Linked DNA regions of Saccharomyces cerevisiae S288C. Changing the gene in region 1 together with any one later gene gives a genetic interaction. Each region holds a gene or a part of one and is shown in the gene's direction. Other genes may lie near its edges.

Evidence for each region.
Region 2: mutations in FIT2 (region 1) and RGI2 together harm fitness more than expected from each alone (negative genetic interaction), as found in Saccharomyces cerevisiae (one large-scale study listed by BioGRID).
Region 3: mutations in FIT2 (region 1) and HXT2 together harm fitness more than expected from each alone (negative genetic interaction), as found in Saccharomyces cerevisiae (one large-scale study listed by BioGRID).
Region 4: mutations in FIT2 (region 1) and AVT3 together harm fitness more than expected from each alone (negative genetic interaction), as found in Saccharomyces cerevisiae (one large-scale study listed by BioGRID).

What each region holds. Positions count from the first base shown.
Region 1 is NC_001147.6:1,055,970-1,063,742, forward strand, and holds FIT2 (Fit2p), read left to right. Parts: upstream 1-3,561; coding exon 3,562-4,023; downstream 4,024-7,773. Other genes in the region: FRE3 (ferric-chelate reductase), read left to right, coding at 1-1,711; YOR381W-A (uncharacterized protein), read left to right, coding at 2,454-2,621; FIT3 (Fit3p), read right to left, coding at 4,472-5,086; FRE5 (putative ferric-chelate reductase), read left to right, coding at 5,595-7,679. UniProt on the Saccharomyces cerevisiae protein: Involved in the uptake of non-siderophore and siderophore sources of iron. Has a role in the retention of iron in the cell wall and periplasmic space.
Region 2 is NC_001141.2:245,130-252,699, reverse strand, and holds RGI2 (Rgi2p), read left to right. Parts: upstream 1-4,303; coding exon 4,304-4,798; downstream 4,799-7,570. Other genes in the region: YIL055C (uncharacterized protein), read left to right, coding at 1-658; VHR1 (Vhr1p), read right to left, coding at 787-2,709; YIL059C (uncharacterized protein), read left to right, coding at 5,785-6,150; YIL060W (uncharacterized protein), read right to left, coding at 5,874-6,308; U1 snRNP complex subunit SNP1, read left to right, coding at 7,141-7,570. UniProt on the Saccharomyces cerevisiae protein: Involved in the control of energetic metabolism and significantly contribute to cell fitness, especially under respiratory growth conditions.
Region 3 is NC_001145.3:286,126-295,167, forward strand, and holds HXT2 (hexose transporter HXT2), read left to right. Parts: upstream 1-1,953; coding exon 1,954-3,579; downstream 3,580-9,042. Other genes in the region: ANY1 (Any1p), read left to right, coding at 1-192; translation initiation factor 3 subunit CLU1, read left to right, coding at 5,009-8,842.
Region 4 is NC_001143.9:166,826-176,102, forward strand, and holds AVT3 (Avt3p), read left to right. Parts: upstream 1-4,957; coding exon 4,958-7,036; downstream 7,037-9,277. Other genes in the region: MCR1 (cytochrome-b5 reductase), read left to right, coding at 1-627; DBR1 (RNA lariat debranching enzyme), read right to left, coding at 787-2,004; succinate dehydrogenase flavoprotein subunit SDH1, read right to left, coding at 2,382-4,304; proteasome regulatory particle base subunit RPT1, read left to right, coding at 7,388-8,791; DNA-directed RNA polymerase III subunit RPC25, read right to left, coding at 9,018-9,277. UniProt on the Saccharomyces cerevisiae protein: Involved in amino acid efflux from the vacuole to the cytoplasm. Capable of transporting large neutral amino acids including tyrosine, glutamine, asparagine, isoleucine and leucine.

The sequences.
Region 1 (7,773 bases):
TGCCCAAGTGAGAGAAAACTATTATTATTCTTACCATGGTTTCTACGCCAACTACGACATTGGTCATACTTATGGTGGTATTATTTGCGCCTATTTTGTAGGTGTTATGATTCTTGCCAGCATACTCCATTATCTAAGTTACACTCCGTTTAAAACTGCCTTATTTAAACAAAGACTTGTAAGATATGTGAGAAGATATTTGACAATACCTACTATCTGGGGTAAACATGCGTCGAGCTTTTCTTACCTTAAAATTTTTACAGGCTTCCTTCCCACACGATCTGAAGGCGTCATTATACTTGGATACCTCGTGCTTCATACAGTTTTTCTGGCATACGGGTATCAATATGATCCTTACAACTTAATTTTCGACTCTCGTAGAGAACAGATTGCTCGATACGTGGCAGATAGAAGTGGTGTCCTGGCATTTGCACATTTTCCCCTAATAGCTCTTTTCGCAGGAAGGAACAATTTTCTAGAATTCATTTCTGGAGTAAAATATACCTCTTTCATAATGTTTCATAAGTGGTTGGGAAGAATGATGTTTTTAGATGCTGTGATTCATGGCGCTGCTTATACCAGTTATTCCGTATTCTACAAAGATTGGGCAGCAAGCAAGGAAGAGACATATTGGCAATTTGGAGTAGCTGCTCTTTGTATAGTTGGTGTTATGGTGTTTTTTTCTTTGGCAATGTTCAGAAAGTTTTTCTATGAAGCCTTCTTATTTCTCCATATTGTGCTTGGCGCATTGTTCTTTTATACGTGTTGGGAGCACGTCGTAGAATTGAGTGGGATTGAGTGGATATACGCTGCTATTGCTATCTGGACTATTGATAGGCTAATTCGAATTGTTAGAGTATCTTATTTCGGTTTCCCTAAGGCTTCCTTACAGTTAGTTGGCGATGACATCATTCGAGTCACAGTCAAACGACCAGTAAGGCTATGGAAAGCCAAACCAGGACAGTATGTTTTCGTTTCATTCCTACACCACCTGTATTTTTGGCAGTCACATCCTTTCACAGTCTTAGATTCAATTATCAAAGATGGTGAGCTGACTATTATCCTGAAGGAAAAAAAGGGAGTAACAAAACTTGTCAAAAAGTATGTGTGTTGCAATGGAGGTAAGGCATCTATGAGACTAGCTATAGAAGGTCCATATGGCTCTTCATCTCCAGTCAATAATTATGATAACGTCTTGCTACTTACGGGAGGTACTGGTTTGCCAGGGCCCATTGCACACGCCATTAAACTTGGAAAAACGTCAGCGGCAACTGGAAAACAATTCATAAAATTAGTGATTGCAGTTAGAGGGTTTAACGTACTCGAGGCTTACAAGCCGGAGCTGATGTGTCTAGAAGATCTTAATGTACAGCTTCACATCTACAATACAATGGAAGTTCCGGCATTAACTCCTAATGATAGTTTGGAAATTTCTCAACAAGACGAGAAGGCCGATGGAAAAGGTGTTGTTATGGCAACTACCCTAGAACAGTCACCTAATCCAGTTGAATTTGATGGTACTGTTTTTCATCATGGAAGACCCAATGTTGAAAAGCTTCTGCATGAAGTTGGTGACCTAAATGGATCGTTAGCTGTGGTTTGTTGTGGGCCTCCTGTTTTCGTTGACGAAGTAAGGGATCAAACGGCAAATCTTGTTCTAGAGAAGCCTGCAAAGGCAATCGAATACTTTGAAGAATACCAAAGTTGGTAATCAATTACCTTATTTATTTCCTCACTATTTTACCTATCACAAGTATATATTTAATTGTTTTGACCTGAAACATAATTTATGTCTAGCTGCAATGAAGACAATTGATCGACTTTCACAAACTTTTTCAATCTACTAATCTTTGGAAGCATTTTTTAACTGTCTCCCACTCTTGTTCCATGACTTAAATTTCTCTTCCTCCAAATTAACTGAATTTTTTTTCTGGATTGATGTTCTTTCCAATTGTTGTGGTAATCCACAGCTGGTATAACATAAAAAGAAGTTTTTTGTAAAAAAAAAAAATTTCTCAGTAAGCATATAAGCCTCAGTGAAATAAAATTTTAACAACTACACGCTATTCTATTCCATTTGCCCTGCTTTTCTCGCTTCGTTATCACCTAACCACTAAGAACATACTAATAATACAAAATTTTTATCCACTTTTTACCAACAGATTTTCATGAAATATCCATCTTCTTTCCGAATTCTGTATAAAATGAAAGAGAGATTTTTTGCTCTCAATCCAGGCTCAAGGCTCTTGAGAACAGGTAATTGTTGTTTAGCACGTTTTCAACACATTTATCAGAAAACGACAGTTAAAAATAAGACGAGCGGCGTTATCATCCTGATAGTCACTAAATGAAAAGCAGGTACTTTTGAAGAGCACATGTAATATTTGCTCAACTGATAATACCTTCATTTTATACACACTTCTAATTTTTTTTTTAAAATCAGATACGCATTGATGTTCAATGTAGCATTACCATCACAAGACAAAAAATCAGAATTTTACAAGCAAAAGCGCTTATCTTTAAGGACCAACATATTAGATGAATTCTTAAGGGTTGCCAAAACGCAAGACAACAGGCAAAATAATTTCGTTTCTCAGTACCGAAATGACGAAATATACTGAGGCAAATGCGATCATCATGCCTTTGCGCCAAGAAACTCCCTTGTGAAGAACTTCAAACCGAAATGGGAAAACTTTGAGTTATTGACAGGGAATACGGAGGGGAAGATCACACTTAAATCCGTATGAGCCGCGCACATAATGGTATTCAAATACACAAGAACATTCATGAGCTATTTTTCATCCGTGCAAACGAATTTACTACAATTGGACCAGAGGGCACCATAACTGGAGACTTTGCTACTGACTCAACGTTGATGATGCGAGTAGTGGGTGTACTGTGATTTGCTCATTTTTTTTTTTATAGAAAGATTCGATTAATGAAAGTCACAGGAGACATTTTTACATAGACATTCCGTATATGTTGCGGGTATCGCGGATGCGGATTAGTGATGCCTTTAACTACATTTCATAGATTTCTGTATACCAATTGAAATGAGTGAAGTAAGCTCCTACAGTGAAATATCTGGGTGCTACTGACGCCAAGCCCTACAGCGATCGGAATGCGGGAACGGAAGTTAACGGGGCTTCCAGAACGGCGGAAGCGAATTGAACGAGGACGGCAAACAAAAACACCCAAAATTTCATTACTTAGAATGACCCTCAAGAGCAGGGTGCAATTTATCAAGCGATCATTGAACTAACTAAGTTCATATCCTGTATAGGATTTAAAACAATGCACCCTAAGTTCAAATGCACCCCCCCTCGCCCCGCAGCGGACCCTTGAACAGAGAACTGTTTCGAGGTTCACCCAATTGGATCACTTGTATAATTTGTAATCGAGTTCGGATAAGATGTATACGAATCTAACTGGGTGCAGTATAATTAGCATTTTATATTACCTAGCAATATATGTATAAAACAGGAATGTGTGCGTGCTTCAGGCAGAATTTTACGGTCCTTGTAAAAAAGTCTATCATAAAGCCATCACAAAACAATAATAATGAAATTCTCAACTATTTTCGGAGCTACTACAGTTATGACTGCCGTCTCGGCAGCAGCTGTGTCGAGTGTAATGACCACTAAGACTATTACTGCTACTAACGGTAATAACGTTTACACTAAGGTCGTTACCGACACCGCTGACCCTATCATTAGTTACAGTACCACTAGAACTGTCGTTGTCAGTAATAGTGATGCTACTTACACAAAGGTTGTCACCGAAGGACCAGATACCACCTCTGAAAAGAGTACAACAAAGACACTTACTTTGACAAACGGTTCAGGTTCATCAACCAACCTTTACACCAAGACCGTCACTCAAGCCGTCGAATCATCTACATCCTCCTCATCCTCCTCATCCTCCTCCTCCTCTTCTGCCTCTTCTTCTGGTGCTGCTCCTGCTGCATTCCAAGGAGCAAGTGTCGGTGCATTGGCCCTTGGTTTGATTTCTTACCTATTATAAGCTCGGTTTCAAACCAGAAAAAAGCTATTAGTTATCGTGTATAGCATATTTATAACTTATCTATGAAAAGCTAATATAATTGTCTTTCTCCTTCAAAAGGCTAGTAAAAAGGACTTTTTTTCATTACGTTTCTCAGTGACTTCAATGTAGCAGTTTTTCGTTTCATCATCATCATCGTATTATTATTATTGTTATTATTATTATTATCATTACTTTTATTAATATTAACTATTTTTTTAGTATGATTTCGGGTATATTTATTTTAATTAGATACTTTTAACCGTTTCAAACAATTAAAGGAAGACCAACGAACTTGAAACAGTATATATACATACATACTTAATGTGTGTTATTAAAATTTTTTTATTCTAACATAACTTCGAAAAAAGGCCAAGCCGCAAGGTGCTTCATAAAAATCGGATATCCCGCATGATTATTCACATATCATTTACAATAACATGACGGCAGCAAGGGCAGCACCCATCAAACCAGTACCAGCGGTGATGGCATCAGCAGCACCGGTGTAACTAGATAATTCAGCGGTGCTAGAGGATGTAGCAGAGGAAGAAGTTTCAGCAGTGGTGGTTGCAGTGGTTGAAGCAGAAGAGGTAGCAGCTTCTGAGCTGGTAGAAGTACTACTTGGAGACCAGGTGTTGCTGCTGCCTTCACCAGTCCAGACAAAAGTAGCATCTTGGGTGACAGTCTTAGTGTAGACGTGACCGTTCTTGGTGGCAGTGATAGTGGTAGTGATACTAGAACCAGAACCTTCATCAGCAGAAGAAGTCTCAGCAGCAGAAGAAGTCTCAGCAGCAGAAGTGGTAGCGGCAGCAGAAGTGGTAGCGGCAGCAGAGGTTTCGGCGGCAGAAGTTTCGGCGGCAGAAGATTCAGCGGCAGAAGTGCTGCTGGCGTAAGAGTCTTCACCACCCCAAACAAAAGTAGCATCTTGGGTGACAGTCTTAGTGTAGACATGACCGTTCTTGGTGGCAGTGATGGTGGTGGTGATACTCTCAGCAAGAGCAGTAGCGGCAACAGCAGATAGAACCAAAGCGGAAGAGAATTTCATTTTAGGGATTATTGTTATTAGTTATTTTTAAGCGAGTGGAAGTACTTGTTTGTATCTGTTCGAACATTCATATTACCTCCTAATACTTCAAATAGTTCTTGGCTTAAATACCCCATAAATCAACTTTTACAAAAAAAAAAATAACAAATCTCGAACGATAATTGAACCCCATTTTTTTGCACCCTTTCCTAGAATGGCGGAACTCGGCTCTTGAGCCCTTAGATTGCTTTCCTTCACATACATCAAAAAATATGGGATAGCGGGGTGCGGAACAAACAGGGTGCAAAAAAAAATCTAGGACATAGGTAGGACTAAGAAGACTGTGGCATTACTACACAGCAATCATATTTTACCGCTTCCTCGTTTAATTGGATTTTTACTTTTCATTACATTAGCGATCATTAAAAAAGGAGCGTCAATTTTTTACTTGGCAAATGTGTAATGTAGCGTTTTCGGTATGTCACATCACCAATTTTGTCGCAGTTAATTTAATTCACCCAGATTTCGAATGCTTTTCGCTAGATTAGTGCTGCTGTTGGTGTATTTGGCACCAGGTTCTTTAGCAAAACCAGCATCAACTAAGAAAAGAACGCAATGGGACCAGATAGCAATTGATGCTTGTGCTAAAGAATTGGAATCACACAAATTTGACACGGATGTGAAGGGTCGGCACGCTACTCTTTGCACTTATGAACCAGCACTAGGGTCTTGGTTACATTGCGCGAAGGATGTTCTCGACAGTAGGAAGAAAAGTAAAAAAATATTCGAAAAAACGTTTAGCAAAATTAATCAGTATTGCCACGATTATCACAAAGATGAGGTCGTCAGCAATGAGGAGTATTATCGAATTTTTGCCAATGCATCCCTTTTCATCCGGCCTCTTGATGAGGTAAAGGAAAACATACGATATCCCGTCACTCCCAATAAAGCCTCTCTAGATAGGTGGGTATGGGCTTATTTTGGGCCCCTGGATAATATAGACAAAGGAAATGTTTATGGAGTGACGATTTGCTTATACTGGATAGGAGTTCTGTTTATTGCAGCTGTATATCACTTCTTGAACTTTTCTCGACTTAAACAAACGGTGTTCAAAAACAAGGTGTCTGCTTTCTTAAGAGGCCACTATGTTCTTCCAGCGCTTGTTCATAACCATGCTATGTCAGTGGGAAGGTGGTTTTTCATCGGTCTGGTCCCTACCAGGTTAGAGACCCTTGTCCTATTCGGTTACGTTTTGTTGCACGGGTTCTTGTTGAGTAGTTACAATTTTGACCATAATGAGTTGCTCAGTGATCGCAGAAGCCAAGTGCTTATCTTCCTTTCCGACAGGGCAGGGATCCTGGCATTCGCACATTTTCCTTTGATAGTTCTCTTTGGCGGTAAAAACAGCACAATGACTTGGCTCACAGGTATAAGATATACCGCATTCATTACTTACCACAAATGGTTAGGAAGATTCATGTTAGTAGACTGTACGATCCATGCAATAGGATACACCTACCATGCATACATAGAAAATTACTGGAAATACGTGAAGTATAGTGATCTATGGACATCCGGAAGACATGCCATGATCATTGTTGGAATACTTGTGTTTTTTTCGTTCTTCTTCTTTAGACGACATTATTACGAATTGTTTGTTATTACGCACATTATCTTAGCAATAGGATTTTTCCATGCGTGCTGGAAACATTGCTATAAACTTGGATGGGGTGAATGGATAATGGCGTGTGCACTGTTTTGGATTGCTGACCGTATTCTGCGGCTAATAAAGATTGCAATTTTTGGAATGCCATGGGCTAAATTGAAACTGTGTGGCGAGTCCATGATAGAAGTGAGAATCTCAAAAAGCTCCAAATGGTGGAAAGCAGAACCTGGCCAATATATATATCTGTACTTCTTAAGACCAAAAATATTCTGGCAATCACATCCATTCACGGTCATGGATTCTTTGGTTGAGGATGGTGAGTTGGTAGTTGTGATAACAGTGAAAAATGGGCTAACCAAAAAATTACAGGAATACCTTTTAGAGAGCGAAGGGTACACGGAAATGCGAGTACTAGCAGAAGGACCTTATGGACAAAGCACGCGAACACATTTGTTCGAAAGCCTCCTGTTTATTGCCGGAGGGGCGGGTGTTCCTGGACCTCTGTCGATGGCAATAAAGGCAGGTCGCCAGGTCAAAAGCAACGATTCTCATCAAATGATCAAATTTGTGTGGAGTGTACGTAACCTTGATCTCTTAGAAGTGTATCGCAAAGAGATAATGGTGCTAAAAGAGTTGAACATAGACACAAAAATTTACTTCACAGGAGAGCGAAAAGATGAATCGAACACGGAGGAGGGAGCAATTGCTAATATGAGCACGGAAGGCAGACTGCTGACGACATCGAAATCAGCGGAAATGATTACTGATTTTGGACGACCAAATATCGATGAGATAATTGAAGAAGCAGTAAGTGGTGCAAAATCTTTGTTGGTCACTTGTTGCGGGTCAGAGGGCTTTGTAGACAAGACACGAGAGTTGACGGCAAAAAGAGTTCTTGAACACGGTGACAAATGGATAGAATACGTGGAGGAATTCCAGAATTGGTAGCATTTCAATCCGCCCTATCAATGCTAACCTGTTACGAATACCAAAACCACAAAAACACGGACCTTGTTTAATTACTGTATGAAATAACTGTACT
Region 2 (7,570 bases), on another chromosome or scaffold:
ATTCTTGGAGAAATTATCAGAGTCTGATTTCAATGAGTTAATGAACCAAGAGAAGTTCACAGTTATTGAAATTAAAGAGAAAGGACAATTGGAAAAATTTGGAAGGCTAAGATGGACAGTTCTAAAAGATTTTATAAAACTGAAATGCCCCAAGCTATTAAGACTACAGGAAAGACAGTTTCTACAGCAACAAAACGAAGCATCTTTACTCAATGAATCTATGGACGCTCTAAAGATATCAGAAAATGAGAACACCAACGGGAGTGCAAATAATAGCACATACACAAATGGCGGACCTCGAACATCTATCAATAATACAAGGGAATTCTATGTAGGGGTTTATGAAGATCATGAAGAAGCAACTCTACTGAGGTTTGAATTACCGGAAGATGAATTAGAGGAGTTTAATAGAAATTTGCCAACTACTTTTGCACAAAGTGGAAACGTCTCTGACTCCGAAGGTGATAGCAAGGCGAAATACTTTAAAGTTAGCACAATTGTGTATAATGCCATTGTTGGGTTCCACGATAAAGAGCTGTCTGATTTGACGTTCGAATCCTTACAAGACCAGGAATATTCACTGGGGTACAAAATTCATGTAATGGAACTGCCACCATTTGACGAGGATGAATTTGAAAATCAACGGCAGCAGTTCTAAGCATGGATTAAGAGGATATTATTATTTTATCTTACATAAATATGTACGCGAATTGAAAAAGAAAAAAATATTGTGTAGAATGTGTATTAGGCAGTTATGTATGTAGACAATTTTGTTTTGTATTTTTATCAAAGTAAAGGCTGGAAAACCGGCTGTGGTAAATTGCCATTTTGAAAAGAATTTTTGTTCTTTGTAACGTATGGCGCTGGCACAGACTCGTTGTGGTCATTATTATTTGTGTTGGAGGTGGAGGTGCCAGTGTTTAAAGTAGTGTTGCTATTTTCTTCATTCATTGGCGATTTAGAGATCCTATTAAGGATGTTATCAAAGGCAGTTAAGCTTGATTTTTTTGGATCATCTTTTTCTTGTGGTACCAATGGAATAGAAGGCATAGAGGGGTTTTCACCTATGCATGACATTTTGGGCAACGTAATGGGCACTGGTATTTTTGCATCTTGTAGTGGAATGGTGGAAATGTCCTTAATTACGAGATGAATCTCGCTCGTGGAAAAGGAATCAAATAACTTTGCCAAACTTTCATCGTTCAAGAGGTTATCGTTATGGAAAATACCAAAATTCTTGTTCTTGTTGATAATATTAAATAAATTTTTACAGTTTTCCAAAACTTCAGACACCGTGGGTGGTCCATTGCTCAACTGGTGGAAAGTAAAGGCTTGCTCGCGATCATTAAATCTAATGATCACTCTGCGATTAACATCTTTATTGGCCGATTGAGGCTTCATTGGTAGCGTAGTTAAAAGTGTAGCTCTATTCGATAGAGTGTTATTATTATTCAACATAACGTCACTTGAAACGACAGGAGGGCTTCTCTTAACCCTCTTGTTAGGTGAAGATGATGGTGGTTCTGACGCACAGGAACTAGCCAAAGGATACTGAACCATCACAATATGATGTATGATTTCACTTAAAGGGTAAAGCGTGGGGTCGAAGCCAAAATCCTTGACAATACCACCTATGACCAAATACAGTAGCCTTAGTTGTACCTGAGCCGCGGGGAAATGAGATAAGTTATGTCTTGTAGCGGCACCGAACAGTCTTTGAGACAACAAAGCCAGATTTTCAGGAGAGCACGTCTTGGCAGTGATATACTTCATTGAAGAAGAGACCAAGTTGGAGAAAAATCGTTCGATAACGAATGCAATAGACATTCGGATTGACATTTCACCCAAAATCTCCAGATTTGCGTATATATCAATGGATCCTGCAGCCTGCGAAATGTCCTGACAAGTTCTTGATCTTTGGATTTGTAGGAGTAACTTTTCCCTCAGGAAAAATGGCACGGTAGAATCTATCGGGATGTTTGTGGTAATGTTAGGTTGCTGGCTGAGTGAAGACGTAGCAAAATGTGACAGGTTTGGCCCAGTATATGGGTCCTTGAGAGCTTGTTCTGATAGGGGTACGACATTCGTAACAAGATCGTGCACTAGCATGGTGACTATATCGTTATACTTTTGTTGGGTCGAAGTAACCGATGGAGATGAGTCATTTTGGGTGCCCACGGTTGGAAAAATGGTTCCGTTATGACTCTGGTGACTCATGAGAGGCTGGAACTTGTTTGAAAACTGGAAATCTGCAGCATAATTAGAACTAGGCAGGAAGTCCGAATTGGAGCGCTGGTAGATCGACGGAGAGATCTCGTCGTCAGAAGTAGAATTTGACGAGATGCTGTTGTTGACATTGCCGCCACTGCCATTGGCTATGCTGAGAGCGTAGCGTTTTTTTGATCGTTTTCTATTCCTTCTCACTGATTGCACAGCAGCAGTGACTAACTTTTCGAATTCCTTAGAGCAGCTTACAGGGTATCCAAACTCCGTTCTTAATATTGTAGCAATCTGCTTTATGTTTTGATCTTGTTCGCTTGCCTTATATTGACTTAGTTGGAATTTGTCTATCAGCTCCAGCCTTCTGCTCGAAAACTGTTTCCATTTCTTTTCATCATTAAAATTGAGTAATTCTCTAATCTTATGAGTTGCTCCATTCCCAGAAAACTTATTTATTCTATATTGAGTGAATGTTGGAGGACCGTTCATATGTGTATAGGATATAAGCAACGAAGAAGAATAGGTAGAAAGAGAATAAAGAAGGTTTTAAAGCTATAACTAGTAGAAAAGAAAAATGTAGGAAGGGAATGCGGATGCGTTTATGCTAAGATGCGATGGGGACAATAGAAAAAGAAGAGAAAAAAAAGGAAGAGGAAGAGGTAGTGGTATAGAGAAAGAGAGAGAAAAAAAAAGGCTAGTAGTATTTGTATAGTAGGGAAAGGGCTAGATTAGAACTGAACCAAGCTGACCTGAATTGACTCAATAACACCATTCTCACCCACACAAGTACCGAAGATCCAAAAGGCAAGAATCATGGAAGAGAGCACATTGATTTATAGTAAAAAAAAAAAAAAGAGAAGACGACGGTAGAAAGATTTCAGGGAACATATGGCTTACACTTATGCTGAAGAAGTAAGAGGGAGAAGCGAAGCAAATATAATCTGTCACAATGCACAGTGCGCAAACGTAATCTGCCCACTCAGCTAATAGCTCCTGCCATGATTCTGCTGCGTAGTCTATATGAAAGGAAACGAAGGTCAGAGATGAAAAAGAGATAAAAAAGAAAAGAAACTTCTCCGAGGGGCGCAGAATTCAGGGCAAAACAACATGGAATCGATCAAAAGTCATAGTCACCCACGGAAACGTGGCGCCTATTCCGTGGCAGCTACCCGCCCGCCGCTTGTTCTCAGGGCACTTGTCCACTGCATTCCGATGTTCCGCGGAAATTAGCACGGCCTCTTATCCCCGGCTCCGCACGATTCCCTGTGTCCGTGCATAACGAATGACTCTTGTGTCGTGTTATCCGGGCTTTCTCCTTTTCCTTTCCCCGAGAAAGCAACCGACGCATACGGATATAAGCGGATCCCACCGAAAAGGAGACTCCACGGTCTTGGTGAATAACATCGCGCAGATTATTCTGCGAACCGTGGCTAATAGGAGCATGCCCGAAGAAATGATTATGGGTGCGTGATCACCAATCTGTGTGAGGCTGTCGAAGATATCTGATAATCAGTAAGCGATAAAAAAAAAATAAAAATAAAAAAATAACGACACCAGCAGGATTTGAACCAGCGCGGGCAGAGCCCAACAGATTTCAAGTCTGTCGCCTTAACCACTCGGCCATAGTGCCTAAAACAATGTAGGTTATTTAAGCAAGTATTGTAGATACTTTTCGTAATAAACTACAATGCACCCACGACTCGCGGTGTAATGATGGCATGAAATCATTGAACGAAGTTTTGCGGCTATACGGCTGAAGGACGAGACTAAAGGGACAGGAATTATTAATGCGGGGTATAATTTGAATAGTATTAACGGGCACTGCCGTTTAGCCATCAAATGCTATTGTTGGGGTATTCTCTCTACTTTTTGTTCTTGGCTTGAACCTTTTCGGCGGTTGGCAATCGTCCGTATATAAGCATCGGCTGTCCCAATCCTCTATTGCCCTTTTCCCTTGCACCTCCTTCTCAATTCTTCGTATCTTTCGCGTAAAGGTAGATCTTGATTCACCTATCTGTCGAAACACGATTAAGTGCAAACGAAACAACGTACAGTATATAACAAAGTATTTTAAATAATAAGAATGACGAAAAAGGATAAGAAAGCAAAGGGTCCTAAGATGTCCACCATCACTACAAAAAGTGGTGAGTCCTTAAAGGTTTTTGAGGATTTGCATGATTTTGAAACATATTTAAAGGGTGAGACGGAAGATCAAGAGTTCGACCATGTCCATTGCCAACTGAAGTACTATCCACCCTTTGTCCTGCATGATGCGCATGATGATCCGGAAAAGATCAAAGAGACTGCCAATTCGCACTCTAAGAAGTTTGTTCGCCATTTACACCAGCATGTTGAGAAGCACCTGCTAAAGGACATCAAAACCGCTATCAACAAGCCAGAATTGAAATTCCACGATAAGAAAAAGCAGGAATCCTTTGACCGGATTGTTTGGAATTATGGCGAAGAAACGGAGTTGAACGCCAAGAAATTCAAGGTGTCTGTCGAAGTTGTATGTAAACACGATGGCGCAATGGTAGATGTTGATTACAAGACAGAACCCTTGCAGCCACTCATCTAAGTTTGGGGAGCTGTTTTTATGAATTAACGAAATTTTATGAATTTACGAAATATAGCATGCTATATAAAATAATTTATATGCGCATGTATTTTGGTGTGCACCTTCTTACTGGAGTGTATACAAGTCTACAAATCAACACATGTGGTTTTTTTAATGTTTTGTCGTCACAACGCGACCTTAAATAAAAGAATTCCACGCTAGATTCATGCTACTATCACGAACAATACGTACCAATTAAGCTTTCTTGGTGTAATAAAAAAAGAGAAATGTACACACCACCATGATTCCGTTTACGTCTTGCTTTTCTACTTGTTTCGCTCATGGGTTCTCATCAGCTCTATTGTGTGTGCCCTCTTTGTAGATAATTAAACACATTGAAAAAAAAGAAAACGAAAAGATGGCACACGGCTTGGTCATCGAGTGAAGAAATGAAACTTCAAAAAAATTGCCGGACACTTAAACCTTAACGAGTTATACAGAACCGTATCCAGACCTGGAGCTGGGCTATAAGAAGAAGCGACAATATGGTATACTAAATTTCTGGACTCGTAGTCACTCAGTCTGTTTGTCAGTAAGTCACGTAGACCTGTATCGGCAGTAACTATGGTATTTTTTCCAGATTAATTATTATACGATGTTGTTACTTCGATAAGGTCACAACAGGTTTTCCATTGTTGAGAAACTGACTTTGATTATTATTTAGTTAGTAGGCAACTGTCATGTTGCAACCACAACAAGCAACAATCCTTTCACCATGACTATTATAAGCGGCCGGCAAAATTGCCGGGAAAACTGCCAGGGATATAATGCAACCTTCATTTGAGCACTTAAAATAGAAGATAACGTTGGTAAACCCCCCTTGATAGTGGACACATCCTACGTAGATCTCTCTACAGCCAAGTCGTATATATAGCAGCAAATTGCAACCAACCACATGGGACATAGGAATGAGTGGTTTTCTCAGACCCTGAACGTGACCGTCCATCATGAATTTCTCCACAGTTTTTCAAGCAATAATCGCGGTTTTAGGTTTAACTACAGTCACAGCTTTAGCAGAATTTGATTTCGACGTAGGCTATGAAGAGTTTGTCCGTACCAATCCTGATACGATTTTCTTAGAGAGTGATATTGGCCTGCACGTTGGATATACCGAGGGTGGCGAACGACAGATAGCAACGATACCACACAATTCCACGCTAGGGACTTCACTACGTGAGTATAGTGGCTGTGGTGGTAATGGTACAGAAACCTCCATCGCTACCCCCGCACCTACAATGAGTGAGGTACCTATCGCTACCTTCGTGAAACGTAGAAAAAGTGTACCTATCTTGCTACCGCAGGTATGTATGTGAAGAGTTGGTGAATTTTGAGATAATTGTTGGGATTCCATTTTTAATAAGGCAATAATATTAGGTATGTAGAATGTACTAGAAGTTCTCCTCGAGGATTTAGGAATCCATAAAAGGGAATCTGCAATTCTACACAATTCTATAAATATTATTATCATCATTTTATATGTTAATATTCATTGATCCTATTACATTATCAATCCTTGCGTTTCAGCTTCCACTAATTTAGATGACTATTTCTCATCATTTGCGTCATCTTCTAACACCGTATATGATAATATACTAGTAACGTAAATACTAGTTAGTAGATGATAGTTGATTTTTATTCCAACAGTATGGGAGGTATATGAACCCCTACAACCACTCATTTAGAAGTGGGGGACTGTAGTTCTTTTATGAAGTAACGAAATTTTATGAAGTAACAACAAATGTTGTTAATTGTAATCTTAATAATCTAACATTTAATAAATCTTGACCTTAGACTTTTTTGTCTATTCATAATATGCTGATATTACTTTTCTTAAATATAAATATAATCTATATAATATTATTAACGAAATGTAGGAAGCTAAAAAAAAAAAAAAAAAAAAGAAAGAGACTTTTATGCGTATATTTAGGTACCCCGGTACTTACTTCTGTATATATAAATCAGTGAATCAATACATATTTTTTTTTAATGTTTTGTCCTTATAACGCGACTTATTCAAAAGAAAAAAAGAAGTCCCATGCAAAAATCTTGTCATTATTGCGAATGGATATATCAGTGAGACCTTTTTAAGGTTGTAGGGAAAAGGAAGTACGCTTCATTACAATTTCGTTCATGTCTTGCTCGCCTACTTGTTTTGCTCATAAATCCCATCAGCACCATTGTATGCGCCCTTCGTAGGAAATTAACGCATCTGAAGAAAAAAAGAACTGCAAGATAATGACACACAGCACGGTCATCGACTGTCGAAAGGAAACCTTAAAAAAGTAATCGGCACCTCAACCTTGATGAATTATAATCTATCCAAGTATCCAGACGACGTGTCGAGACTTTTCAAGCCAAGGCCACCTTTATCTTACAAAAGACCAACCGATTACCCATATGCGAAGAGACAAACAAATCCAAATATCACTGGCGTTGCAAACTTACTATCAACCTCTTTGAAGCACTATATGGAGGAGTTTCCTGAAGGATCTCCAAACAACCATCTCCAAAGATACGAAGACATCAAACTTTCCAAGATCAAAAATGCTCAATTGTTAGACCGGAGACTACAAAATTGGAATCCTAACGTTGACCCTCATATCAAGGACACAGATCCCTACAGAACGATATTTATTGGGAGGCTACCATACGATCTTGACGAAATTGAACTGCAAAAGTATTTTGTTAAGTTTGGCGAGATCGAAAAAATTAGGATAGTCAAGGACAAGATAA
Region 3 (9,042 bases), on another chromosome or scaffold:
AGGCATCAACATCACCCTAATGACAGTAATTCGCCATCAGATGAAGATGAAAGCGAAATGTACGAATTAGATCTTTTTAATACCTTACAAAAGGATGTCGAAAAGGCCTTGAAACAGGATAGTAATGATACGTCAGATTCACCTCAAGATGACCAAGTGGGTAAATCTCAGGCACAGGCGGTAACGCTATAGAAATTTTCAGGTTTGCAAATAAAAAAAGTTGATAGAGAGGTTTTTTTATATTTTAGATATATGCATTCATAATTCGATATATACATGCATGCATATCTCGAGTACAATATTACCATTGTTGTAATTACTTGTTAAATATCGCCTCTTCTATTCATGTTTGAAAGGAAAAGAATGGTGTGGTTACACCTCGGGGAAGATATTTTCACGGGCATATGGAACTAATAAATTGAACGTCACGGTAATACTACATAATACAGTATTGGCTAAACAAAATGTGCCTGACGATATCAAAGTTTCTGTAGTGATATTCATTCCTGGTTTGCAGGCATGAAAAGATTAATATTGTCATTGAGCAATGTTCAATTATTGCCTTTTATTTAATAACATTCTACAACCTCTGTATATAATACATATAATTCCATTTGTATCCACAATTCTCTTCATGTTGAGATATATATCTTGAGGGGTATTCGTATCGCTTGTATACAATGATAATCGAGGTAAAACTCATGTACAGTAGTGCGGCATATTTTTCTTATTTAGTTTTTGTAGGCGGCATAGTATTACTTGCAGATTTTTTTAAAGTCCCTGAGCCCCAAAGTTCCAAAGCAACAAAAAAACATAAATCCTTTGCAGGAAAAGTAACATTTGGCAAAATTTCAACAAATTATGCCCCCCGAATTTAGCAGTGATCAATGTTAATTTGCCTACATGCTGATGCAGAGTTGTAGAAACAAAGAATTTTACCCTGTATGAAAAATTTTCTACCGATGTAATACAAAAATGAATCATCAAAATTTTATGACGTAGGAAAAGACAGAGAAACTTTCTATTTCTTTTCTGGAGTAAAAAATTAATTATCTATTTTACTTAAACGAAGATAGGGTTTCGTAATCACGAAAGAACAAGCAAAATTCTAGTTGACAGGTCAGTTAAGGCACAGAAAAAGAAATATTATTCATTACTATCAAGATACCGTAGAAAAGAAAAAGAACCGGGGATGAATAATAACAAAACGGGCTGCTTTTTCTTTTTCTCTTTCTTTTTCATTTGGTCCCTCTCCACTCTTTCTCCACGTGGCTTTGCTTTCCCCGTATTTTTCTTCGTCAGAGAGACTACATGATAGTCCAAAGAAAAGAAACGGGGGGACGAAGAAGAGGAGAGGAAAAACCAAAATATAATTTTCCGTGAAATAGATTCTTTTTCTCCACTGCACGACTTCTTCTCCTCCCACAAAAAATGACGCCTCATAGACAGCCCCGCAGCTTCACTTTTAAGTTTCTTTTTCTCCTCACGGCGCAACCGCTAACTTAAGCTAATCCTTATGAATCCGGAGAAAAGCGGGGTCTTTTAACTCAATAAAATTTTCCGAAATCCTTTTTCCTACGCGTTTTCTTCGGGAACTAGATAGGTGGCTCTTCCACCTGTTTTTCCATCATTTTAGTTTTTCGCAAGCCATGCGTGCCTTTTCGTTTTTGCGATGGCGAAGCAGGGCTGGAAAAATTAACGGTACGCCGCCTAACGATAGTAATAGGCCACGCAACTGGCGTGGACGACAACAATAAGTCGCCCATTTTTTATGTTTTCAAAACCTAGCAACCCCCACCAAACTTGTCATCGTTCCCGGATTCACAAATGATATAAAAAGCGATTACAATTCTACATTCTAACCAGATTTGAGATTTCCTCTTTCTCAATTCCTCTTATATTAGATTATAAGAACAACAAATTAAATTACAAAAAGACTTATAAAGCAACATAATGTCTGAATTCGCTACTAGCCGCGTTGAAAGTGGCTCTCAACAAACTTCTATCCACTCTACTCCGATAGTGCAGAAATTAGAGACGGATGAATCTCCTATTCAAACCAAATCTGAATACACTAACGCTGAACTCCCAGCAAAGCCAATCGCCGCATATTGGACTGTTATCTGTTTATGTCTAATGATTGCATTTGGTGGGTTTGTCTTTGGTTGGGATACTGGTACCATCTCTGGTTTTGTTAATCAAACCGATTTCAAAAGAAGATTTGGTCAAATGAAATCTGATGGTACCTATTATCTTTCGGACGTCCGGACTGGTTTGATCGTTGGTATCTTCAATATTGGTTGTGCCTTTGGTGGGTTAACCTTAGGACGTCTGGGTGATATGTATGGACGTAGAATTGGTTTGATGTGCGTCGTTCTGGTATACATCGTTGGTATTGTGATTCAAATTGCTTCTAGTGACAAATGGTACCAATATTTCATTGGTAGAATTATCTCTGGTATGGGTGTCGGTGGTATTGCTGTCCTATCTCCAACTTTGATTTCCGAAACAGCACCAAAACACATTAGAGGTACCTGTGTTTCTTTCTATCAGTTAATGATCACTCTAGGTATTTTCTTAGGTTACTGTACCAACTATGGTACTAAAGACTACTCCAATTCAGTTCAATGGAGAGTGCCTTTGGGTTTGAACTTTGCCTTCGCTATTTTCATGATCGCTGGTATGCTAATGGTTCCAGAATCTCCAAGATTCTTAGTCGAAAAAGGCAGATACGAAGACGCTAAACGTTCTTTGGCAAAATCTAACAAAGTCACCATTGAAGATCCAAGTATTGTTGCTGAAATGGATACAATTATGGCCAACGTTGAAACTGAAAGATTAGCCGGTAACGCTTCTTGGGGTGAGTTATTCTCCAACAAAGGTGCTATTTTACCTCGTGTGATTATGGGTATTATGATTCAATCCTTACAACAATTAACTGGTAACAATTACTTCTTCTATTATGGTACTACTATTTTCAACGCCGTCGGTATGAAAGATTCTTTCCAAACTTCCATCGTTTTAGGTATAGTCAACTTCGCATCCACTTTCGTGGCCTTATACACTGTTGATAAATTTGGTCGTCGTAAGTGTCTATTGGGTGGTTCTGCTTCCATGGCCATTTGTTTTGTTATCTTCTCTACTGTCGGTGTCACAAGCTTATATCCAAATGGTAAAGATCAACCATCTTCCAAGGCTGCCGGTAACGTCATGATTGTCTTTACCTGTTTATTCATTTTCTTCTTCGCTATTAGTTGGGCCCCAATTGCCTACGTTATTGTTGCCGAATCCTATCCTTTGCGTGTCAAAAATCGTGCTATGGCTATTGCTGTTGGTGCCAACTGGATTTGGGGTTTCTTGATTGGTTTCTTCACTCCCTTCATTACAAGTGCAATTGGATTTTCATACGGGTATGTCTTCATGGGCTGTTTGGTATTTTCATTCTTCTACGTGTTTTTCTTTGTCTGTGAAACCAAGGGCTTAACATTAGAGGAAGTTAATGAAATGTATGTTGAAGGTGTCAAACCATGGAAATCTGGTAGCTGGATCTCAAAAGAAAAAAGAGTTTCCGAGGAATAAGAGATTATACTTAAACTAGCACTGATTTTTTTAAGGCTAATGGCTACTAATACTTTAATAGATGATCTTCATACTTTTTTATTTAACGATTTTTAATGATGTTTTTATTTGTACCACTCATTTATCTAGATTTTTTTAATACTGATCAAATCTTACGGACTCGACGTTAAAAAGTTCCTACATACGTCTGGTACTTGAAACGCTGCTTCGAGGTATTGACACTATAAGAATACGATCCAAATACTTACACCGCATGTAAAAATATGCCGACAATATGAATACTTGTTGATGAATGATATTTGATTTTAATCCGGCAATTTACCTCCTTTATATAATCCAATAATTGTTGATAATTAGTGGTTAGGTTGCAGTACTAATAAGAATTAAGACAAATATTCTTCTACTATATAAAAGGTGCAAACAAAACACACGCCGATCGGCCATACTAAACAAGACCAACATAATAATGGTGGAACCATTTACTGTATTTTCAATGTAACGACTCATATCCTTATACATGAGACGTCAAGTTTCTCGTTGAAGTAATAATGAATCTTTAACTTTACTGTGCCACATATCACGTAATCATATATTGTTTTTCGCCTTCAAGCATCAATGGCGTATTGTGGCTGATTACTTCATATGATCACTAATTAACTAATTATGAAAAATAATAAATAAGTCACCAACCAAGCAAGGAAATTAGCTTCAAGTAAACAGTTGGTTCTTTCTGGCGAGTTAGAACAAAATTAAACAATAATCTATCGACTAGCATTCATATCACCAATATATCGTCATATACAGCGAAATGATTGCATTTACTGGATTGAATGGATACACTTTGAAGATGAACCTTTATCATAGTTGAAATGGGATAGCTGAGAAACTTGTGCATGATTTGATGATTGTTTGGGTTCAACCGTTGGGGATAAGGACTATAATATTAGGTACACAGAAATTCCAAATATATAAGTAGCAGTGCTTTATGAAACTATAATGTCAGAGTAGTTATGTAAAAATAGAACAATTGATATGATCGTTTCTTTAATAACTCGATAAGGAGTTCTCTACGAAAAATATCAACAGTGAAATATAATCCGATATAGTGTAACGGCTATCACATCACGCTTTCACCGTGGAGACCGGGGTTCGACTCCCCGTAGCGGAGTTTTCTTTTTGAAGAAATTTGAAAATTTTTTTCTTCACGTCGACCAAGGTTTTTTCCGGTCAAACATGGCCAATAAAACGGATACCATTTCTTGGAAATTATACGCTTCGAAGTATTCTCAAAAAAGGAAATTGTCTGCAGTGAAGATTGGATATAAGGTTCACTAAACACAGAGTAGTAATTGAGCTGTAATTTGTTTACAGAACGAATCAAATCAGCGTAGTGTTACAGTTTATCTGAGACTGCATATCTTTAATCTCTATGAGCGAGAAAAAAGAAGAAGTTAAAAACGCCACCGTTAAGGTGACTGTCAAACTTCCAAAAGAAGATAACCATTCGCATAATACGAAACATCTCAAAAAGACCCAAAGTTCAAAAAATAATGATATATCTTTTGAAATCGGCAAGGAATCCAAAATTCAAACTGTTCTAGATGTGTTGGCTATGATTCCAAGTTCCAAGTACCTGACAAACGTTGGGCTGAAAACAATTGAAGGTGACTCCCAGCTATCTGATGAAATGTCTATAAAGGAAATTGTTGGTGAGAAAAGCGAGTTAAAACTTCAATTGATACTGAAGCCATATAGCGCAAGAGAGGCTTTGAAACATGTGATTACTGTTCGCGATTTCATCGGATTTGCCCAAGAAACCTCAGATGGATTATCTGAATTTGCTATTTCTACTGGTTCAAGCTTTTCCTCGTTACCGTTGGGTCCTATCAAGGAACGCTCAAAACAAGAAGAAAAAGACGAGAAGAGCGATCCAGAAGAAAAGAAAAATACTTTCAAAGATGTGACTGACGAGGAAAAACTAAAATTTAACGAGATGGTTCACGAAGTGTTTTCTAGCTTTAAGAATTCTTCAATTAACAAACTTCTCACCTCTGAATCCAACATCATCACGCCGTGCGTCAGGTCTTTGAGTTTCGCACCTTACAATCCTGTACCTCCATTTTATAGAAGTAAAGGTCATCTATTTTACCTACAAATTGTCACTTTGGAAGGTGAGAGTTTCTATATCACTGCAATTCCATCTGGATTCTATGTCAATAAATCAAACTCAACTAAGTTCGATCCTTCTCCAAAAGAAAACACTGACGAGAACGCGCACTCATCCCTGATCTATTACAGTCTATTTGACTTGATTGCTTCTCGCTCTAAAAAATTCATTTCTCATGTCCAAGCATTCGAGAAAAAACTATCTGCTTTAGATTCTACAAGCTATGTAAGACCAAGCAATACTTTCTTGCATAAACCATGGTTTGTTTCTTCATTGCCACCAAATAACCCAGATTATCTGAGGTTACAAACTGCCGCCTTGGATACCACGCCAGAAAGAAACTTTAATGATGAATTTCAAGCCATTAAAGATTTGACTACGTCAACATTACAAGATCGTATTGAAATGGAAAGGTTGTTTTCTAAAGTTGTACATGAATTTTCTGTTACTGCAGCATCAGGCGCTATGTCAATTTTTTACAGTGATTTCGTTGCAATGAACCCAGAATCTCCAACTCGGGATCAAATTTTCTTAAAAGACAATATCTTTTATTCCTATGTTTCCGACGTTAGTGGCAATTATGAAGGGAAAGGTGGGGATGAAGCTGCAATCGCTGCTTCCAACCAAGACTTGAAGACAATCAATATTTTGAATCGCTTGCATATGCACGAAGTTCGTTATCTTTTAACAACTGTAGTCGAATTTGCAGGCAGAAGAATTTTGGCTCAAACTCCAGTACCTGGACTCTTAGCTACCATGGGTAACAAAATTGTAAAAGATGCTAATACCGGCGAAGAGGTTACCGAAGATTTTGTCAATGATATTAATGTAAAGTACGGCCTTGATGAAGGTTTGGGAAAGATTGTTTATGATGCTGACTTTGATTCTGTTTTAGAAAAAAAGTTTGTCAAGGCATTCCATTTGAAAAAGCACAAAGTCAACGGTACTGAATTAGCATTTTCATCGCAATCCAAGGGAATAGTTGGATTCGATAAGAGGCGCTATATTTTGGATTTAGCCAACACGTATCCCTTGGACATCAACTTTGCTAGACAAAACTTTGACAACATCGAAGAGACTGGAAACCGTTACCCACACAGGCAAACTTTGTTACGTCCGGAGTTAGTAGAAAAGTGGTGGAATAATAAAGTTGAGAAGGAAGGTGTTGAATTTGAAAAGGCCTATGAAGAAAATTTGTTTAGTTATAACCCTGATGCTTACCAGGTCGAAGGTATTGAGGACGCTAATGTTGACGAAATGTCGAACTACTTACAAAAAGAAGTTATTCCCAGCGTTATTCAAGATTATTTATCTGGAAATTTGAGCACTCCTTATAATGGTGAACATTTAGCCGATACTTTACATAAGAATGGTATCAACATGCGTTACTTGGGTAAAATTATCGAGCTTTCTCAAAAGGAATTGGACTCCCAAATTGTCCACTACGAACAAAATTTGAAAGCTGTTGAACAAGACAACAAAGAATATGAGGATTGGGAAAAATCTTATCTGCAAAAAATTGAGAACATGATTAAAGAGAGACAAGCCAAGATTAATAAGCTGGTACAAGAAGGCAAAGAGGTTCCAAAAGAACTAACTGAAGATTTGAAATTAAACGATGAAGAAATCAAAAAGCCCACCGATGGAAAACCTGTGGTCGTTGCCTATGATGAGCTAGTGCCATTAATTAAAATTTCCGAATTAGAAATTGTTTCGCGTTCTTTGAAACATGTTTTAAAAGATTTGAGTAAAGATGTTCCGGTCTTCTTGGTTCCATCACTGGTAGCATACGTTTTCAATATGTTAGTTGGTATCAACTACAATGCTGATCCGAAGCCAGAACCAGTCGACGAATTTTATCCAGTCAATAAGTGCTCATTTGCTAAATTAACACGCTCCGAATTGCTGGAAGCTGTCTCTAAACAAGCCTTCTTGCGTTTCCGTCATCAATTACCATCCAATTGGATCGAAGCTTACATGGAAAATCCTTTCACCCTCATTAGAAGTGTTTCTTACAAATTTGGTATTCAATTGCTCAATAAAGAATACTTCTTTACTAGAGAACAATTGGAAAGTTATAAGCAAAGTCTTGACAAGAAAATTAGGAACAAGTTTGTCGAACCACCAACTACCTTCAGTTTAAGCGATTTGACCATTATTCCACGTGTTAAGTTCTCAGAATATACTTCTTCAGTTAGTGAGGAATTTTGGGCTCAAGGTGCTTCTATGATCAACGAAGACAAACAAAGTGCTTTGACTTTACTCGCTCAATCAATTACAGTCTTAGAAGATGTTAACAATATTTTACATCCCGCCGTTGCTGAAAAGTACTTGTCATTATCTGCCATTTATAATAAGTTAGCATTATACCCTGAAGCTATCGCGTTCTGTCGTAAAGCATGTACTATTTATGAAAGAGTTAGCGGTATTGATTCTTTTGAAATGATGAGGGCTTTAACTAATTTAGCAATTCTAGAATTCTCTAATGAAAGTCCTTATAACGCTACTGTGGTTTATAATAGGCTCGCAGAAATCCTAAAAGTTTATGAGTTACCAAAAATCCATCACCCAGCCCCCACAAGCATTTTCAACCATTTGGAACAATTAGCCCTAGGTGTTCAAGATACCAAATTGGCTATTGAAGTCTTGGGACAACTAAGCTCCTATGTTGTGGAATTAGAAGGCAAAGATTCATTAGCATATGGCTATACCGAGTCACGTTTAGGTAATTTGTTTGCAGCATTGAAGGATTTCCACCGTGCATTAGAGCACATCACTGTAACCCAAGGGATTTTCACCAAGCAATTGGGTATGAATCACACGCACTCAGCCCAATCAAGACAGTGGGTTAATGGTTTAAGCTCATTAATAATGGATTTAAAACAAAAGAAGCAACTTGCACAAGATCAAATGTCGACAACGGGATCAAATTCAGCTGGCCATAAAAAAACCAATCACCGTCAAAAGAAGGATGACGTTAAACCTGAATTGGCTAACAAAAGTGTGGATGAGTTGTTAACATTTATAGAAGGCGATTCTTCCAACTCTAAGAGCAAAAACAAAACCAACAATAAAAAGAAGCATGGTAAGAAATAGAGAGCTAACTTAACAATCTCGTTTATTTATTATTTTTCTTTATATCTATAGCCCATACTTGTATATACTACGTGTAAGTACTAGATATAAAACGAAAAAAAAATACTTACAATTATTTTTTTTTCTTTACTGCTCTATTCTTTTCTTTATTCTATTCATAAATGCAAACAATTAGTTATGTAATTTTAAAAGTTGAAAAT
Region 4 (9,277 bases), on another chromosome or scaffold:
GTCACACCAAAGGGATCCAATGTGGTGAGACCATACACTCCTGTGAGTGATCTTTCCCAGAAGGGTCACTTCCAGCTGGTCGTCAAGCATTATGAAGGTGGTAAAATGACCTCACATTTATTTGGTCTTAAACCAAATGACACCGTTTCTTTCAAGGGTCCTATTATGAAATGGAAGTGGCAACCTAATCAGTTCAAGTCAATCACCTTGTTAGGTGCCGGTACCGGTATCAACCCTCTGTACCAATTAGCTCATCATATAGTTGAAAACCCAAACGACAAGACCAAAGTTAACTTGCTATATGGGAACAAGACTCCTCAGGACATTTTACTAAGGAAGGAACTGGATGCGTTGAAGGAAAAGTATCCTGACAAGTTCAATGTTACTTACTTTGTTGACGACAAGCAAGATGACCAAGACTTTGATGGTGAAATTAGTTTCATCTCCAAAGATTTTATTCAGGAGCATGTTCCAGGTCCAAAGGAAAGCACACATTTGTTTGTCTGCGGTCCCCCACCATTTATGAACGCTTACTCAGGTGAGAAGAAGTCACCTAAGGACCAAGGTGAATTGATCGGTATCTTGAACAATTTGGGCTACTCCAAGGACCAAGTTTTCAAATTTTAAGCATGGAGGAAAGTAATTGATATTTTTTTTAATTTCGGATCGTTCAAATTAGTAAATATATAAAAAATATATATATATTCATGTGTATGACTAAAAATTCTCTCAAGAAGGCTTGGCTTTAAGCTCTAATTCCGTCTGCATTCGTAATAGAAATATCTCTCAAGTCATGAATTTAGAGATAAATGCTTTAGTTTGTCGTACTTCATCTTTCTGAATATCTAAGGTGTATGCAGGAATGGCATAATTTTCCCAATCAATATCCCTTCCTTCCTCTCTATTAGATTGAGACAGTTCTATCCAATTGACGCTATTAAACGGTTTATTGCTTAGGAGATTCTTATTTTTTTGACAAATTACCAAATTATTGATAAATTCAGGATCCCAGAACATACGGTGATTCTCGTCCTTCCACGAAGCATGCGATGTATCCGGTTCTATTTCCAGAATTTCTAACCAACGTCTTCTTGGCAGGCACTTGTCCAACGCCAAGAACCGTGTCTCGCCGTATTTGGAATCATACTCATTCTCTTCTTGGCAATTCATAATACCAGACCTTTCGTCCTCGTCACTGGATAAATCCAAATCTATTTCATTATTGTTTTTTTTTGTCTTTGAAGTTGACTTATTAGGCGGTTCGTGGCTTCTTTTATTATGCTTAATGGAGGCCATGAACCTGACATGCAAATGGGCGCTCAACCACCATTGAGGCCGCAAATCTCTTAGTAGTTGCCAGGTCACTGGGCTGCCTAGTTTTCCCTCTTTAATATCTTGCTCAAAAAAAGGCTTAAGCTTCAACAAGTGCTTAGTATCGCCATGATAAACGACTCCATTGGGCCAATCGTGGCTCAGCATAATATCAATACGATGCTTGATCATAAAAAGAGGAGCAATATCAGAAATTCTTACATGATACAGATTTCTTATGTTAGCTTTCCAATTGTTATTTTCTAGGTCATTCCAATCTGGTCGTTGCTTATTGAAATCCCACTCTTTCCATATCCCGCTCAATGAACCTATCCTTATGCCTTTAAACCATATAACGTTAGAGTATCCCATATAAAAAATGTTCTTTGCTACATAACCACCATGTGGCAGAAGCATTAAATGTCTCATCGATTCATGATTACCGCCAATAAAAATAGTAGGGACTGGGGCTTCAATCTCATTATTGTAGTATGATATGAAATCACCGAGTCTTTGATATTTTGGTGGTATGGCTATTGACTTAAAATCCTGACCATCACGAATACTTTGAAAATCTCCAAGAATAATTAATAGATCGATGGGAGTCTTCGCATGGATTCGTGACACTTCTTTATAAATTTGGTTTAGCTGACCATGACAGCACCCTTGTACAGCAATTCGCAATTTAGTCATAAGCAAAATGATAAATGTCTGCCCATCTTAATTTTTAGTTACATATTTACGTTCGCCATATGACTTTCTCCTGCTCATTTTTTGTGAGGGCCAGAAAAACACACATCTGGCTAATGAGAAAAAAAATTGGAGAACTAAGGAAATGCCTCGATAAAAAATTGAAAGTAATAAATAAATAAATAAATAAATAAATAAATAGTAAGTTAATAAATAACTAAATAAATAGAGTATGTATAAGAAGAAACTTTATGTAAATGTATATTAATAGGTATATATACAAATTAGTGAGTCAGTGGTAAAAAAGTGCAAACGCACAAAAAAAGTGCAATTAAAGAAGAGTATGATATTCTTTTCCGTAAAATACAATGAGGTTCAAATTAGTAGGCTCTTACAGTTGGAGGTACGGAAGGACATTCCTTTTCGTCCAAAGTGTGATCGATAACCCTTCTGTATTTCAAAGTCACTGGGGCAGCGACGTCCTTTTGCCAGGATAATGTATGCTTCATCCAATGTTCGTCATCTCTATTTGGATAATCCTCTCTTGCATGAGCACCACGGGATTCCTTTCTATTAGCAGCGGAAACAGCTGTTTGGGAGGCACAGGTTAATAAGTTCTGTAGCTCCAGAGTTTCAACCAAGTCAGAATTCCAGATCATTGATCTATCGGTCGTCTTCACATCATCAAAGGTCTTCTCTACTGCAGTAATGTTCCGAACACCTTCATCTAAAGATGATTGTGTTCTAAAGACGGAAACATCCTTTTGCATAGTTTGTTTCATATTCATTCTAATTTCTGCCGTAGATCTTGAACCATTAGCATTTCTTAGTTTATCCAAGTTTGCGATGGATTCTTTACCCAAATCAGAAGGTAGTGGTTTGTGTGGCAACCCAGGCTGTAAAGTGTCAGCAACCGTATGGGCAACAGCACGACCAAAGACAACAAGATCCAACAAGGAATTGGCACCTAATCTATTGGCACCATGGACAGAAACACAAGCGGCTTCACCACAAGCCATTAAACCGGGAATAACCTTGTCTTCGCCAGTTTCTTCATCAATGGTTAATGCCTCACCATTCCACTTCGTGGGAATACCACCCATGTTATAGTGGACGGTAGGAATAATGGGAATAGGTTCCTTGGTGACGTCTACACCAGCAAAAATGGCTGCTGTTTCAGAGATACCTGGCAATCTTTCCTTTAGAACTTCCGGAGGTAGATGGCTCAATTGTAAGTACATGTGGTCCTTTTTCTTACCAACACCTCTGCCTTCTCTGATCTCCATGGTGATTGCTCTGGAAACGACATCTCTACAAGCTAGATCCTTGGCCGTAGGAGCGTAACGTTCCATGAATCTTTCACCTTCAGAATTAACCAAAAAACCACCTTCACCACGAGCACCTTCAGTGATTAAGCAACCAGACCCATATATACCTGAAGGATGGAATTGAACAAACTCTAAATCTTGCAAGGGGAAACCAGCACGCGAAACCATGGCATTACCGTCACCCGTACATGTGTGAGCAGAGGTACAAGAGAAGTATGCTCTACCATAGCCACCAGTGGCAATAATGGTCTTGTGTGCTCTGAATCTGTGGATGGTACCGTCTTCCTGATTATAAGCGATGACACCAACGACCTCGCCATTATGGGTCAACAGATCGAGGGCAAAGTACTCAATAAAGAAATGTGTGTCATGTCTTAAAGCTTGGCCATAAAGCGTGTGTAAAAGAGCATGTCCTGTCCTGTCTGCGACAGCGCATGTTCTATAGGCCTGAGCACCCTTACCGTACTCCTTGGTCTGACCACCAAAGGCTCTTTGGTAGATCTTACCGTTTTCAGTTCTTGAAAAAGGAACACCATAGTGTTCCAGTTCAATGATCGATTTGGGCGCTTCCCTGGTCATGTAATGGATGGAGTCCTGGTCACCTAGCCAATCAGATCCTTTCACAGTATCGTACATATGCCATTTCCAGTTATCCTTGTGCATATTTCCCAGAGCGGCATTGATACCACCCTGAGCAGCAACAGTGTGGGATCTGGTGGGGAAAAGCTTGGATATACAAGCAGTCTTGTAGCCCGCCTCGGCAAGACCAAAGGCCGCTCTAAGGCCGGCACCACCGGCACCGATTACCACACAGTCATACTCGTGATCTATTATGTGGTACTTCCCGTCTGCAGATCTGGACGCGGAACCGTTTACAGAGCCCTGCGTTTGGCGCACCAAAGCTGACGATGTAAATGTTCTTGTGTTTCTGAGCAAAGTCAACTTGGAGAGCGCTGATTTTTTTAGCGATAGCATCTTTATTCTCGTTCTTCTTCGTACTATGAAATTGGATTTTTTTCTTTCTTTCTTTCTTTCTTTTTATCTTCAATAAGGGGTTGGGGAGGAGATTAGTGAAAAGAATATCGAAAGTGCAAAGTATACTACTGGTTAGTTATAATGTGTCTACTAGTTTATTAGTGCTATTTAAGCTTCAAGCCGCCTCGACGTGGCAAAAGGTTAGAGTCGAGGATGCCTGAATATATAACGGGTTTGAGCAAACAAACAACCAATAGAAGAGGCCCGGATCCCTTGGTCCAGCGCTTGCTCGGCGCCGCGTTCTGCGCTGTGATTGGTCCACCCCCGCCCTCAAAGCCGTGACTCCATAACGACTTTCCAGCGAGCTTGGTACCTGGCAATAGAGGATGATCCTCACCTCCGCTACTTTTGGGAGCTACTTTTAGCACGGAAAGGTATATTTTGGACTACTGTATGAGTAAATCCTTATATAGACGACATTATTACTAAAGGTAGAGCGAGAGATAGTAAAAGGGTTGGTTACCCGGTCGGGCCTTTTTCTCGTATTATCATTTGTGCTCGTGAGGCTATGAAATAAGAAGGATCGATGGTCAGTAGTGAAAGAGTGGGAAGCAAAGTTTATTAAGAAGCGTATAAGGGATTGCATCGCGGATATGAATGGAAAAGAGGTTTCAAGTGGCTCTGGAAGAACGCAGAGCAACAACAACAAAAAAAATAACAACGGAGGCAGTACAGGAATCTCGCATGCGTCTGGCTCACCTTTAACGGACGGCAACGGTGGCAATAGCAACGGTAATAGTAGAAGTAGAAGCAGAAGTAGAAAATCTAGTGGAACTACAGGTGGTTTGCTAAAAAAGCCGCCGCTGCTTGTGAACAATGAAGCGGTGCATGCTAGCGTACCCGACGCGTCGCACACTTCCTGTAACAATGGCACGCTTGAAGTGAGCATAAATAACCCTGAGCCACATGTGGTAGATGCCGTGGCACGCCACTTGATAAGAAACCCGAGTAACAGCCTACAATTGCAAGGCGGAGACATTACAAGAGATCTGTATAAGTGGACAAACGACCATCCTTCATCACCATCGCAGTATCAGTACCCAAGTCAACCTGCACTTTCCACCTCAATACCTTCACAAGCGCCCTCATTCTCGAATCGTAAAAGGTCTATGAGCTTTTCTGCCGCTTCTATAGCATCTTCCTCTCACCTTAACAACAACTCGGAGGCGAATGGGAATCCTCTAGCGGCAATAGGCCTGGCGCCCGCACCGATGACGCACGAAGAAATCAGGGCTCCTGGTGGATTCAGAAGATCTTTTATAATACAGAAGCGCAGGAAACATAACGTTGATGCGCCCATACCGAATTTTTTCACCAGGAACTTTATTGAATTTTTGACCTTGTATGGCCACTTCGCTGGTGAAGATTTATCGGAAGAAGAGGAGGAGGAGGAAGAAACTGAAGAGGAGCCAGAGGAGGAAGCTTTGGAAACGGAAAGCACCCAGCTAGTTTCTCGTGAACACGGGCGCCATCCTCACAAATCATCTACGGTAAAGGCGGTGCTGCTCTTGTTAAAGTCATTTGTTGGGACAGGTGTGCTTTTCCTACCAAAGGCTTTCCATAACGGTGGTTGGGGATTTAGCGCCCTTTGTCTACTCTCGTGTGCCCTCATTTCTTATGGATGTTTCGTATCATTGATTACCACCAAGGACAAAGTAGGCGTAGATGGGTACGGTGACATGGGTCGTATACTATATGGGCCCAAAATGAAATTTGCCATTCTTTCGTCTATCGCCTTGTCACAAATCGGGTTTTCTGCTGCATACACTGTTTTCACTGCAACTAATTTGCAGGTCTTTTCTGAAAATTTCTTCCATTTGAAACCGGGCAGCATCAGTCTAGCCACCTATATCTTTGCACAAGTACTCATCTTTGTCCCACTATCTTTGACAAGAAACATAGCCAAGTTAAGTGGGACCGCGTTAATAGCAGATCTATTTATTCTACTGGGATTGGTTTATGTTTACGTTTACTCCATTTATTATATTGCTGTTAATGGTGTCGCATCCGATACAATGCTTATGTTCAATAAAGCGGACTGGTCGTTGTTCATCGGTACCGCCATATTCACCTTTGAAGGTATAGGCCTACTTATCCCCATTCAGGAGTCAATGAAACACCCGAAGCATTTCCGGCCATCGTTGTCCGCGGTGATGTGTATCGTGGCAGTGATTTTCATATCATGTGGTCTCTTATGCTATGCCGCTTTTGGATCTGACGTGAAAACTGTTGTTTTATTGAATTTTCCGCAGGACACTTCCTATACTCTCACTGTTCAATTACTGTATGCATTAGCCATTTTGTTATCCACGCCGTTGCAGCTATTTCCCGCGATACGTATTTTGGAAAACTGGACTTTTCCCTCAAATGCATCTGGTAAATACAACCCGAAAGTCAAATGGTTGAAAAACTATTTCCGTTGCGCTATTGTCGTCCTGACATCTATCCTCGCTTGGGTAGGCGCCAACGATTTGGACAAATTTGTATCACTGGTAGGCTCCTTCGCGTGTATCCCATTGATCTACATATACCCGCCATTGTTGCACTATAAGGCGTCCATCTTATCTGGAACCTCGAGAGCCAGGCTTCTTTTAGATTTAATCGTCATAGTATTTGGAGTTGCTGTCATGGCCTACACGTCATGGCAGACGATTAAAATGTGGAGCCAGTAATCCGCCATTTTTGACCGAGTACATCATGTACAGACACATATATATATATTTATATATGACTCGTTATCTATATGCATCTGGAACACACATACCTTGTTTTAATTATGATTAGCATAAATGTACTATCCTTGTCAATTTGGTATGGCTGAGTTTACCCGGACGAGAGGAAAAGGTATAGTGAATAGGATTACCGAATTTTGCCACCCGAAAACTAAACTAGCATGCAGCTTACTATACAAAGAACTGGGTATATACAGTATTTTCCAAGGAGATGAGAATTCAAAGCAATATTCAATTGAGATATTTTTTTGAACCATCGTAATAAATCAAGGAAGTTAGGAACTATACGGAATGCCACCAAAAGAAGACTGGGAAAAATACAAGGCACCTTTGGAAGACGATGATAAAAAACCTGATGATGACAAGATCGTACCCTTAACAGAAGGTGACATTCAAGTCTTAAAATCATACGGTGCAGCTCCATACGCAGCCAAATTAAAGCAAACTGAGAATGACTTAAAAGACATTGAAGCGAGAATCAAAGAAAAGGCCGGTGTGAAAGAAAGCGATACAGGGTTAGCACCCTCCCATCTATGGGATATTATGGGTGATAGGCAGAGACTGGGCGAAGAACATCCCTTACAAGTCGCTCGTTGCACGAAGATCATTAAGGGGAATGGTGAAAGTGACGAAACTACGACAGATAATAATAACAGCGGCAATAGCAATAGTAATAGCAATCAACAGTCTACTGATGCAGACGAAGACGATGAAGATGCCAAGTACGTGATAAATCTTAAGCAAATTGCCAAATTTGTCGTCGGATTAGGTGAACGTGTTTCTCCAACAGATATAGAAGAAGGTATGCGTGTAGGTGTCGATAGGTCGAAATATAATATTGAACTTCCATTGCCTCCAAGGATTGACCCATCAGTTACTATGATGACCGTTGAAGAAAAGCCTGACGTTACTTATAGCGATGTCGGTGGCTGTAAAGACCAAATTGAAAAGCTGAGAGAAGTTGTCGAGCTGCCCTTATTATCTCCAGAAAGATTTGCTACTCTTGGTATTGATCCACCAAAGGGTATCTTATTATATGGGCCACCTGGTACTGGTAAGACATTATGTGCTCGTGCTGTTGCTAATAGAACTGATGCAACTTTTATTAGGGTCATTGGGTCTGAGCTAGTGCAAAAATATGTCGGTGAAGGTGCTCGTATGGTTAGAGAATTATTTGAAATGGCTCGTACCAAAAAGGCTTGCATTATATTCTTCGATGAAATCGACGCTGTTGGTGGTGCTCGTTTTGATGATGGTGCTGGTGGTGATAATGAAGTTCAAAGAACTATGTTAGAACTGATTACACAGTTAGACGGGTTTGACCCTCGTGGTAACATTAAAGTGATGTTTGCCACCAATAGGCCCAACACTTTAGATCCAGCTTTATTGAGACCCGGTAGAATTGATCGTAAGGTAGAGTTTTCATTACCTGACTTGGAAGGTCGTGCAAATATCTTCCGTATTCACTCTAAATCAATGAGTGTGGAACGTGGCATCAGATGGGAACTTATCTCCAGACTGTGTCCAAACTCTACCGGTGCAGAATTAAGATCTGTTTGCACAGAAGCCGGTATGTTTGCCATTAGAGCAAGAAGAAAGGTGGCTACTGAAAAGGATTTCCTGAAGGCTGTTGATAAAGTTATTAGCGGATACAAGAAGTTTAGTTCCACATCGCGTTATATGCAATATAATTGACGTCAATGTACTTTTTTATTATATATTATGAGAAGGGTTAATAAAAACAACAAGTACAACTACAACTATCGAGATAAAAAGGATACGAGAGTATCCCCTCAAATAGAGAAAGAATTAGCGTATATAATGCTAAAGAAAATTCACGTTTATTATATATTATTATCCTCATTATTACTGTTACTATTATTATTAAATGTTTTATTGAAGTCAGTGGCGTCCTTATCTATCATTCCCACCAACTAACGAGTCCCATGCCATCAGTTTGACAACTACCTAATAGGGCATATGCTGGAGGTTTTTCGTTTTGAGGAGTTTCTTCATTCTTACCCTCAATCTCATTCTCTAATTGAGCTCTTTCCTCCAATTCTCGTTCTTTGGGTGATTTTGGCTTCACATCAACAAAAACTTCTCTTTCGATTCTGAATCTAATTTTTTCATTTACATCGAAATATAGTTTCGTCTCTTCATCCATGGGCCAAATCCATG